2 linked regions of the Drosophila melanogaster genome follow. The protein of the gene in region 1 binds, or shares a complex with, the protein of each later gene. Each region holds a gene or a part of one and is shown on either strand. Other genes may lie near its edges. The genes, in order: Sym and Ssu72. A codon is read from its position in the direction of its gene.

Evidence for each region.
Region 2: the proteins of Sym (region 1) and Ssu72 are in contact, whole or in part, in a crystal structure (PDB 4YGX), measured with the Drosophila melanogaster proteins. Residues at the interface, in NP_649580.1 of Drosophila melanogaster: Glu91 (codon at 4,145), Ala117 (codon at 4,006), Lys121 (codon at 3,994), Gln125 (codon at 3,982), Gly128 (codon at 3,973), Ser129 (codon at 3,970), Glu169 (codon at 3,850), Asn170 (codon at 3,847), Asp171 (codon at 3,844), Gly172 (codon at 3,841), Thr175 (codon at 3,832), Asn176 (codon at 3,829), Lys179 (codon at 3,820), Phe180 (codon at 3,817), Arg198 (codon at 3,763), Ser240 (codon at 3,637), Ser241 (codon at 3,634), Val242 (codon at 3,631), Ile245 (codon at 3,622), Ala246 (codon at 3,619), Ser249 (codon at 3,610), Thr281 (codon at 3,514), Ser283 (codon at 3,508), Gln284 (codon at 3,505), Ser286 (codon at 3,499), Ser287 (codon at 3,496), Lys290 (codon at 3,487), Met294 (codon at 3,475), Gln295 (codon at 3,472); in NP_001285455.1 of Drosophila melanogaster: Glu114, Tyr117, Asp118, Val121, Met122, Glu125, Glu128, Ser129, Val130, Asp131, Asn132, Arg133, Pro134, Asp168, Asp170, Asn171, Asp174, Gln178, Glu181, Val187, Ile188, Leu189, His190, Ser191, Val192, Phe194.

What each region holds. Positions count from the first base shown.
Region 1 is NT_033777.3:5,737,644-5,744,476, forward strand, and holds Sym (symplekin), read right to left. Parts: upstream 4,834-6,833; 5' UTR 4,486-4,833; coding exon 4,399-4,485; intron 4,329-4,398; coding exon 4,135-4,328; intron 4,074-4,134; coding exon 1,951-4,073; intron 1,875-1,950; coding exon 952-1,874; intron 846-951; coding exon 675-845; 3' UTR 535-674; downstream 1-534. Other genes in the region: CG1236 (uncharacterized protein), read left to right, coding at 1-265; Madm (MLF1-adaptor molecule), read left to right, coding at 5,342-6,472. UniProt on the Drosophila melanogaster protein: Component of a protein complex required for cotranscriptional processing of 3'-ends of polyadenylated and histone pre-mRNA. Involved in germline stem cell transit amplification, differentiation and mitosis-to-meiosis transition.
Region 2 is NC_004354.4:19,662,777-19,667,425, reverse strand, and holds Ssu72 (Ssu72 CTD phosphatase), read right to left. Parts: upstream 2,866-4,649; 5' UTR 2,781-2,865; coding exon 2,554-2,780; intron 2,492-2,553; coding exon 2,233-2,491; intron 2,175-2,232; coding exon 2,073-2,174; 3' UTR 560-2,072; downstream 1-559.

The sequences.
Region 1 (6,833 bases):
CAACACGGCGCGTGGTGGCGTTGTAGACCAGAAGGCCCTGTACGAGGCACTGAAAACCAAACGAATTCTAGCAGCTGGTCTGGATGTAACGACGCCGGAGCCATTGCCAATCGACGATCCTCTTCTGAAACTGGATAATGTGGTTATTCTCCCCCACATTGGCAGCGCTGACATCGAAACGCGCAAGGAAATGTCCCGGATTACAGCCAGAAATATTCTTGCTGCCTTAGCTGGCGATAAAATGGTAGCCGAAGTAGAGCTGTAAGCCGTGTAATCTCAGCGTACAATGAATTTTTTCCACATCTTTTTAAAAACATCTGTTTGTAATTATGTACAATGTTCTAATTAAATATTTCGTACTTTCAAAGGTATTTTAAAGGTACTGAAATTATTGAAACACTTGTATTACGCCGATGACAGTGCTCGCAATGAACTGATCCGTAAATGGTCGTGGCCACTCAGAATCGAAATTTTTGTGTTATTTGCGTGGGGTATACTCCCAATCTTTTGATCATTAACAAACAAAATTATATTCCTTTATAATGTATGTGGGTGCGGTCAAGACCTTGGTTTTATGTATTATCGCCTAGAACAGTGAGTTTATAAAATTATAGACCTTATCTTATTAAGTAATTTAAAAATGTGTATGAGCAAACAAAACAATTAAACTGCAACTAGTCCTCGCCAGGCGGCAGGGGCTGGTTAAGATCACTGCCTATGGGGGGAGGAACTGGTAGTGGTACTAGAGACGTCAGTACGGGCACTGTGGAAATGACACTAATTTCTGATGGATCCGGTGCCTCTTTTTTAATATGCTCGGCACTGATGTAACCGCCGCTTTCGTCCTGAAAAGAAGATACTCGTATGTAGTAGCTGAACGTCTTCGATATTGGTTCGGTATTTGAGTTACTATTATTTCATTTAAGACTAAATCAAAAAATGCATAGTTACCGTCACGAACACATCAACTGATTTCCCGGAGATGATGTCCAGAACCTGCTGGGTTATACCACTACCATTCATTGGTTCATCCTGCATGCTCTCCGCGTATTCCGACAATGCTGGCCTTAAATCGGGGCACTGCTGCAGTGCGTCCACCAGCTGGGCGGGAGGAAGGTGCAGCAGGATCGGCATTGACTGCGGTTTCAGGCGCTGCACGGTCTTTAAAAAGCCCTCCCAGATTACTTTTTGCCGCCAGACCTGCTTGATTATCAGACGCTGCAACAAGTTCATTACAAAGTTTGCCAGACGCGGGTACAGAGTTAGACTCTGAATTGTTGTGCGCATCATCAGAGTAGGCAGCGGAGTAACCTCTACAAGCTGTTGCAGCACAGCCATAAGTACCTCCTGTGTGTACAGATCTCTTTCAGCCAAACATAGGGATGTAGCCTTAACGATGGCTTTAATATCGCAGACACTCGTATCGATGGTGTGCAAAGCCACGAGAATATCAGTGGGGGTCATGGCCATCGTCTGATGCGCGAATTCGGCACCGATACCAAGCAATCGATTGAAAACCTCCTTGACCACAGCGGGATTAAGTTTAATCAGCTTCGGCAGAACGGAAATTAGCTCGGATCGGGTTAAGCCACTTAGCACGGGTATCATCACGCGCACATCCTTGACCTTGTTCTGGTAGAGATCCCGAACCCGCCGAACCAATTCTTCATGGGGGGATGGCACTCGCTCTGTCAGTATGTAAATTATACGGATCACTAAGGTCTCCATACCCTTAGGACAATCCTCGATTAGTTGCAGCAACGTCGGGCTTTCTACACCCATCTTTTTTATGGGAATATCTAGACTGCGCAAGATCGTGCGTTTCAGTTCGGCAGATGTAGAAACAAACACTTGACAAATTTGCTGTAAGTAAACTATCAGGGGAAGAGAATATTAAGAAATTGATTTAATAGTTTTTTTCTTCTTTAATACGGGACAGCAACAACTTACCTTCCGGTTTATAGGGCAGCAGGGTAAAGGCCAAACCAAAGCACACCTTGGTAGTGTCTTCCCGCCAATCAGGCTCCTCGGTTGGTCGACCAAAGTCCTGCGAGAAAACAGCTGCCGGCGGAGATTCCTGTTCGATAAATTTAAGCCACTCCAGAGCGAATTCGTCTATTCGAGCCGGTAGTATTTTGTGTACATGGTACAGACTGACCAGGTGGGCCTGTGCCAGATCCCGCAGATCCAGTCGCTCATGCACAGAAAAGTTGAGCAACACTCTAACGAAACGATTCTTTCGCGGCGGCCTAAGCACTGCAAGGTCCTTGATTAGCTCCAGGCCGTGCTGGGAGAACTCGTCGTCCAGGCTTAATTGAACTAGATGTCCAATTGAGACTTCCGGAAGAATGGGTGCTTCTAGATATACTCGACGAATCAAAATAATCTTATCCTTGTGATCGCAACGCTCTCCAATGCCGAAGATAAGCTTATTCAGCAACTCGTTGTAGGCGTGATCGGGTCTGTTCTCTGTCTTAACATAAGTGTGCCTTGTAAATCCTTGCAGCAGAGAGTACTCCTCAAAGAGCCAGGAAAATGCCAAATCGATACGCTGTTTTATATCCTCCAGGATGAACTCCATGATGCCGTAACGTACGTTATCGGGAAAGGTGGCAGCAATCACGGTGACCAGCTTACGGCGCTTTGATGACACTCCTCCCTTAATGCATTGCCGCTCCGAGTTGAGGATGCGACGCACTGCATCAGTTAGGAACTTCTCTTTTAAGTTGCGTGGCAGAGGCTTGGTGATCTCCTGCAGCTTCAGCGTCTTGGCGCGCTCCTTCATCTTTTCAATAACAGTCTGCTCACCCTTGGCGCGCTCCATGGTCTCGCGCAGCTTCTTGGTTGCTTCCTCCTTACGCTGAAACTCTTCCTCACTCAGTTTTTGAACAGCATCCTCGTCCACTTCCATTGCAGTTAGTGTTGATTCAATCGCTTGCACTTTCTTAACCCGCATTGGCGGCTCTCGACTGAAGGTTGCGGCACCTGGGCCTAGGCGCTTTTCAGATAGTTGTTCGCCAAAAAATCTGGAGATATTGGTTACCTGCTGCTGAATAGACATTTCGCGAATGGGTGTATATTCCTGAAGGAACTTTTGTGGCACCTCAGTGGGCAGACTGGGCAGGAACTCCAGCACCAGGGTCACAACAGTTTCAGGATTACGGAAATGCTCTGCCAGAAACTTTTCGTTAACTCGAGTAGACTTCTGTTTCTGTCGTTCCAATTCCTCAGTGTCTAGCTCCATTTCTCGCTGCTGCTGATCCTGCTGCTCACAGGCCAAGCGCGCACGCTTTGCAAGACTTTGCGCAGCATTTTCGAGGATGCGTTTTTGTCTACGAGCCATTTCCTGTTTGTCCATTTTGGGAATAAGCTTCTGGATCTCATTTGTGGAGGACCCCAGATCAACTAACATTCCTCGGATAGTGCTTGCAAACTCAAAGGCACCGCGGTTCTTCAGCAATGTCTGCAACTGCATCTTAAGGCTCTTACGCACGGAGCTTACTTGCGAGTCAGTGAGGGTGGGCGGCAGGTTGGCATTCAGCTGCTTAAAGGCTTCCACCACGGCGCCCATGAAAATGGGTCGCATTTTGGCAATTGTACACAAGCTGCTTGTGCAGGCAATCAAGTTCACTGAGGAAATATGCGTTGTTCCGTGGAACTGAAGCAAGATATCTAAAATATTGTTGCCCTCCTCTTGCAACTTTTCACGGCGGAATAGTGTGCAGTGATCGGGGACATCTGCCAGCGAGAAGTCTCCATCTCGTTTCAGACTGTCCTCGTCAGCAAAGCTCTGCAGAACCACGACGCCCTCCAAGAACTTAATGGCATTTGTACGTATGCCGTCGTTTTCATTGTCGATCATGTCCAGTATTTGCGCCTTGATTAAGCTGAGGATGTTCCACGCCTGCTCCGCACTGTCGCCGGGCTCCATGAGGCTGCACAAGTACTGCAATCCATTCTTGTAGATGCTACCGCAGGCTTGGATCACTCTTTTGATTACCTGAGCCGAGTTATCCCTAAGCAGCATAGACACGACGTTAATGACATGGGGCAGTAACTCCACCTTCACTTTACTGGGATGGAAAATATAAATCGTTTCAGCAAGAAGTTAGATCCTTTGATGGAAATCCTTACCAAACTTGCTCTACGAAGGCGACTACCTGCTTGCGAACCTCCATGTTTGAGTCGTGGGCCAAAGACAGCACGGACTCCAGGAATTCTTCGGCCAGCTCCGCGCACGATCCAAGCACAGTCTCCTGCACCTTAGCCAGCAGTTCGCACTTTGTCGAAGGCGATGCGATGACCAGCTCATTGCACCAATCGACCACCTGAATGGGAAAATATATGGTACAATACAGCAGTCCGGACTGTCTTGTCTGATTAAGATTTGTGTTCTACCTTAGCTCTTGCCGTAGCTGTCTTCTCGTCTGTGAACAGATTGGCCGTCTCCGAGACAAACTGGCTGCGTCCAATTATGCTATCCATGTTTGGTTAATTGATGCAGATTTTGCCTAAATCTGCGATACTTCGGATATTTTTAAGAGCTGCCGGCACGGATGGCAAGGTGTTATCGGTACCATTGAGAAACTATCGAAAACGGTTCTATGATGTTGGTAATTCTGCATATTTCCGGACCATCTAGCTATTTTTTGCCAGCTCTTAATGTGTTCAAAAGAAAAAGAATATTTTACTAAAAACTTGGCTTATAATCAAATGAACCGCCTGCAAACTAATTTTCCTTGCTCGTTACCGTATAAAAAATTAATAAATCACATAAATTAAGCCATTTTTGGCATATCTCAGCTTAACGCGTTATTATCGATGAGCATGCCGCAGTTGCGCTGGCCGAGCGATATGCGGGGGTGACTATCGATAAGCCAGAGGCATCGATTTGCTCACATTTCTTGGGTGTTTTAGCGTGAAAAAAACGCCTAAATAAACGAATCGGCAGCGTGTCAGGCCAGAAAGTGCAACAAACGGATCGCAGTTCGCGACGCAGTCGAGGATTGGAACAGAAGACGCCGTCGAAGGTGCCGAAAAACGTCCCAGCAACCGCCAGCCGTCGCAGCGGAGTGTTTACTGGGCGAGGGGTGCAGTGGATGAGCTGTGTGGGCGCGTGCGTGTGTATGTGTGCGCCAGTGAGTGGGGCAGAGGCAGCGGCAGAGGAGCAGCGGCGGATGTAGCTCGTTGCCCGGACCCCGTAGTGGATACCACGAAAAGCTAGCGCAAACGTAGGCAGTCCAACAAAGAAAATAAACACTGGAAACCGAAGACGACGAGGCCTTCTGGAACTGGAACAGCACTGCTCAACAGCCGCAGCCGCGTCGGTGACCGCACCCTAATGTCAAATAGCCAAGCGAATGCCGGCATCAGCGGTAGCACGGTAGCGGATGAACCCATCCAGCACCACCCTTCCTTGGCGGCCGGCCCCGTAAGTGCATCCTGCCCAGCAGCGACCCCGCCGTCGCAGTCGACGCAGCAGCCCCCGCCGCACATAGTTAGTGCCTCAACAGCTGATGCGGGCAGCAGCGCTGCGGTCGGCGTCGGCGTCGTAGCTGGCAGCGAGGGCGTCAATCTGGACTCGTCGCCACGCGAGTCCGGGGACGATTCGGAGGATGAGAGCGAGATTTTGGAGGAGTCGCCATGTGGACGCTGGCTGAAGCGACGCGAGGAGGTGGATCAGCGTGACGTACCCGGTATTGACTGCGTCCATCTGGCCATGGACACCGAGGAGGGCGTAGAGGTCGTGTGGAATGAGGTGCAATATGCCAGCCTACAGGAGCTGAAGTCGCAGGAGGAGAAGATGCGGCAGGTGTTCGACAATCTGCTGCAGCTGGACCACCAAAACATTGTCAAGTTCCACCGCTACTGGACGGACACGCAGCAGGCCGAGCGACCCAGGGTGGTCTTTATCACCGAGTACATGTCGAGCGGATCGCTGAAACAGTTCCTCAAGCGCACCAAGCGCAACGCCAAGCGGCTACCGCTGGAGTCGTGGCGCCGGTGGTGCACTCAGATTTTGTCCGCACTCAGCTATTTGCATTCCTGCTCGCCGCCCATCATCCACGGCAATTTAACCTGTGATAGCATCTTCATCCAGCACAACGGCCTGGTCAAGATCGGCTCGGTGGTCCCGGACGCGGTCCACTACAGCGTCCGGCGCGGCCGAGAGCGGGAGCGTGAACGCGAACGAGGCGCCCACTACTTCCAGGCGCCCGAGTACGGCGCCGCCGACCAGTTGACCGCCGCCCTCGACATCTACGCCTTCGGGATGTGTGCCCTGGAGATGGCCGCCCTGGAAATCCAGCCCAGTAACAGCGAGTCAACTGCCATCAACGAGGAGACCATCCAGCGCACAATCTTTAGCCTGGAAAACGATCTGCAGCGCGACCTGATACGAAAGTGTCTCAACCCGCAGCCGCAGGACCGACCCAGCGCCAATGATCTGCTCTTTCACCCATTGCTTTTCGAGGTGAGTTTTCAAGTCAATTATCTTGTTCTAAATGCTATAAATTCAAGACCCGCATAACAATTGCCTTGTCAACTAGACCTTGCATTCTAATTCTCGGATCCATCGAGTGAGAGATTTAGTTTAATAAGACACCTGATATTATTAAATTTTATTTTAAGTAAATAATTGAAATCTGAAGATTTGAATAATTATATGATTTAAATGCACCGTTAAATATTTAAGTTCTAAATTTGGTTTTATCCGAATCATATCGTAAATTATCTTAGAATTTAATATATTATATTCATGTGTATATTATATATATATGTATATAAATGGAAGGAGAACTAGTAATCAGTTGATAATTCTACAATCCATTTTG
Region 2 (4,649 bases), on another chromosome or scaffold:
CACGCGCAGGTCGTCGTCGTCGGATTCACTAACTAGTAGCGCAAACGTAAAACAAAGCGAGTACGGGTACGGAGTCGCGAAGCCTCGGTGGAAGCGGTAGTAGTAATGAAGATAAGCACGATCGTTCCCTGACTGACTGAAGCGCGGCGCGAACCGCCGCAGCAAACAAACGCCCAAGCAAGCACTGCCAATGGCAACAACACCAACACACCAGCAACAACAGCTAAAGCAGCAGACGCTTTGTAACCCCGACTGCGCAGCTGATCGCAGACAGGAGCGGATTCAGTGCGCGCGGGGGCCCATTCGATCTGGATTTACATGTGAATGGAATTGATGGATAACACATAAATATACAAATAATACGATATCATAGTATAACATGGAAATAAAACTGTTTAATCTGAGAGCATTGATCTGATGCGTTGATGAGTTTAATGATGAAATTATGCTAGAATTATGATTCCCACATTACTAAACAACACCCTTACAATTTCTAATCCTACCTAGAATCACGTCGTATTTGGTCAGTGAAAACGAGCAAACGTCAACATTTCTTTTTAGAGTTTAAATCATTTATTATTATTCATTAGTCAGTAGGAATCGATCAGTTCCTTCTGAAGTTAACCTAATGTGTAGCTTAAAAGATATTATGGATTCTGTTCCTTAATTATAGTGTATACAAATGTACCGAGGAGAGATTATGCTATATTACGTGTAAGGAGTTCATGGGGATGTATTCTCTTCAGACATCGGAGGGAAATAGGGTCGACAAGATCATTCGCTAACGTGTTTAAGTGGGCGCTAAGTCTGTCGGCATATCGGCTGCTATGGAAGTTTATTTGGTACCCCAATGGGACACCTTTTAAGTCCCCTTCAATAACTCTATTGCTCACATACCACATGTAGCCCAGATGCATGTCGTGCCGCTCCCGATTGTCTTACTCTAATACTCTGTTCCCCACACTTGGATATGGCTTTTATTAAGAGAGCCTTAGTTGCCATATGGAGTTTGCTTGAGTGGAAAACCCAGTCCAGCTTTTTCAGTTTCCAGGAGCCGTGATAAGGGCTTTCCAACTCAGCGTCCGATCAAGGTGAACTCCGAGGTAGCAGTGGGATGAGACGTAATCAATGGTATTTCCGTCGAAGAGAAGACCTAGGCAGGTTTGAGGTCGCAGGGTAAATGTGACACAGGCCGTCAACAAGAAACCGGCATAAATTGGCGTGCACTTTTATTCCAATCCTTAGTGAACACAACTCCCCTGTTGTTTATTTTCTATTGCAAGCTAGCGCCCGTTGCGGGCCTTTGCCTTTGGTTTAAAACGCACAGCCCCAACCAAGGTCGGTCGGGTTTGCCCTGTCTGAACAATTGGTAAAACTGTGTAAAATTAAAAAACGCGGCCCCTGCCCGCGAGGGCCCAGACCGTTCCGCCCCTGTGTGGCTCTCTGGCGTGCATGCTCATTCACACAATCACGATGCGAGATTTCACTTTATGTGAATCGAATCCGAATCTGAGTCCGAATCGGACTCAAAGCCGGGCGAAGAGAGCGGCAGAGCGGCCGAACGGGAGAACGGGTCGGAGTCAGATGGTCGGCGCCTTCGCCAGCTGAGGGAAGCGAGAGCCTGTGATAAGACCCCCAGTCGACGGGCGAAATTACAAGGAATACGGACACGTACACATACTACTACAGGGGTTTTGGGGGGCAGCCGTGTGGAAATGGTCGTCATTGGTTGTGTGTTATATTCCAATTCATTAGCCAGTTGCTTGCATGTGTGGTGTTGATGTGGATTACGAATCAGGTGTTTGGAGTATGCGAGTGTGTGGGTGCTGGTCGTTGTTGGATGTGCTTTCGCTGCAGCGATGGCCCCTCTCTATTTACAGTATTCTTATATGCTAGGCTACCAATCCGGAACCCAGGATCCGCACGCGCTGCGCGCAATGCCCGACGTCCTATGCTCTGCGATCGCAGCCCCTGGGGTACAAGATCGAGTGACTCGGCTGGAGCGCGTCGGGGCTACGGGAGTCTGGTGTTGGTGCTGGAGCTGGACACGAACTGTTAGCAGACGTCGGTCGTCAGTAGAAGAGCACCGAGTGCAGGATGACCCGCTTGCGGCGCTCCTCGAACTCCTGGATCAATTCGTCGATGTCGTTGTCCAGGTCCGTGGACTTGGCCATCTGCAAAGGCACAAGAATCGTTGGGCGAATTGAGGGAATGGACGACAGATGATCATACCATGTTTATCATGTCTGTGATGACAAAGGCGCCCATTAGCGCATCTTCAGCGTTGTCCACCACATCCACGTTGAGAACGTGCACGGGTCGGTTGTCCACGGATTCCATGGACTCCATGTGCATCACCACCAGGTCGTAGACGCGCTCTTCCACAGTGACGATGATGTCGAACTGCTCTTTGGTGTCCTGAAACCGTTCCGGGCACTTCTTTATGCGACGATTGCGGTCGAGCATGTGTAGCAGGCCGTTCTGTGTGTAGCTGTAAACAGGACGAAAGGGCAGGGATTAGCCAACGGTAGGCCGGAAAAACGAATAACTCACAACTCCTTGTCCTTGGACTCCAGGTCGCGGTAGATGTCCTCGTATTTGGTGCCAAACTCGTAAACATTCGGCTTGTCGAACGCCATGCCCGGTAGCTTGACGCGCTCGCCGGTGCCGTAGGAGCGCACATTGAAACCCTTCTTGGCCAGAAAGTTGTGCGCCTCCATTGAGCGATTCATGTTCGAGGAACAGACTACGGCGACGGCGAGCTTGCTAGGATCAGTCATGTCTCTTTCTCTTTGGCAGTGCGTTGCAATCGCAGTCGTCGAAAAATATGTTCATCAAATTGGAGATGGGATGGCAAAACCACGAGCACGAATATCGATACGATATATTCACGAACATACATTTAACGTGTTAATCTGAAAACACGCGATTTAAAAAATTCTGCAGTGTTTAATTGAACACGTTGACTTCACGTTCAAAATATTCAAAAAACCTAAAAAAAATATACGTTATAACAACTGATAATTAGTACGGAATATTTAAAACTAATTATGTAAAAGCCTCGAGTTTTTGAAACATTTTTGGCCAAACAAATACATAACATACATAGCTACTTAACATAATTAAAGTTCGAGGAGTCCTGCAGCATTAAATATGATCAAACTAACAGCTGGCAATTACCTATCGTAATGTCTTAAAACGTATTTATAATCCTGCAACTTGTATAAAATGAAATATCTCATACTACCCTTAGCATAAAAAAGGGCTCCCCCTGGTTAATATCAATGTTATATCGAATAATTCCAATTTATTAAATCTATTTTAAATTCGAAATATTTTTCTGGACTCCAGCTCCACTACTATTGACACTTTCAACTAGTTATATCGATTTCTTGCCGCCAGTTTACGAACTTTTCAACACTGTCGACCAGTTCGACGCAGTCTGGCAGCGTTGGCGGTCAATTCTTATTTTTGAATCCAACCGAAGTGAATTTGGATACGAAAAGCGCCAAAACTGAGTTAATCTAACTATAAGTGAATTTTGTTACTAAAGCGCGAATTTGAACTTGAATTGAAAGCGGCTTGCAACACCCAATGGCGAATTTCGCCGTCCCAAGCGCATAGGCAACCGCAGTAGTAACCGACAACAACCTTTCAGTTTGGAGCTCGTGGAATGCGGCTGAGCAACTTGGAGCCGTTGCCTCCATTCTTTACCTGTGTGTGGAGTGAGGCAGGAGGACTAGAAGCACCATCGCCACCAGCGGCACCACAACCAGCAGCAGCAGCAGCCGCCGCATCGCGTGTGTTGTGAGTTAAGCAGGTTTGCGGCACAGTGGGTCGCATTGCTTGGCACTTGCGACAATATCAAAACAACCGTTTCTCCCCTTTCCAAACAATTAACAGATTGAAAAGCGTCTAAACTTCTTTTCACCTTTTGCTAACAAAAACCTATTTCAAAAAATATTCCCATTGAACCCAATGCCACGTCATTCTTGCTTGATAATTTAAAATAACCTTTATTTGTTTATTTTATATTAAACCGTAATTGTAGCGTCTTTGGGCCAAAAACATTTTAAAGTAAGCTTATTGTATATCATTTTATATTATACTTTGACAAAAGTGACACAACACAATTCATATACGTTTTGGATATCATTATACGGGAATAACATTGGGACAAATCTTGTAGAAAAAACAAAAAATATTTGTGCTAAAAAGCTACCATTTTGGCCATGATGTTCCACTGTGCAAAGCGGCGTTTGGAGCTGGAATTGATATTGGAATTGGCTCGTTCCACTGCTCACCTGTCCGTGTGAGCAGCGTGTGCATGAGTGGGTGAGGTGAGAGGAAGAGACAGAGACACACAGCGAGAGCGAGAGAGAGAGGGAGAGAGGACCCAACTGGTTGGTCGAATAGCTGCCGGCAGTACCGAAGTTCCTGAGATCCAATATTAGTCGTACTTTGTCACTCGATCGGTCAGGGCGTCGTTGTAGCCTTCGTTGTCGTCCACTTGCCGCCAAATCGGAACGCCTGCTGGCGGTGCTTGGTTATTGGGATTGGGATTGGACATCGCGTTCGGTGCGGGTGAGGGAGGGGAGCAGGCGGCGGAGGAAATAGCTCCCGCGGCATTTGCCACCGCGCTATATCGA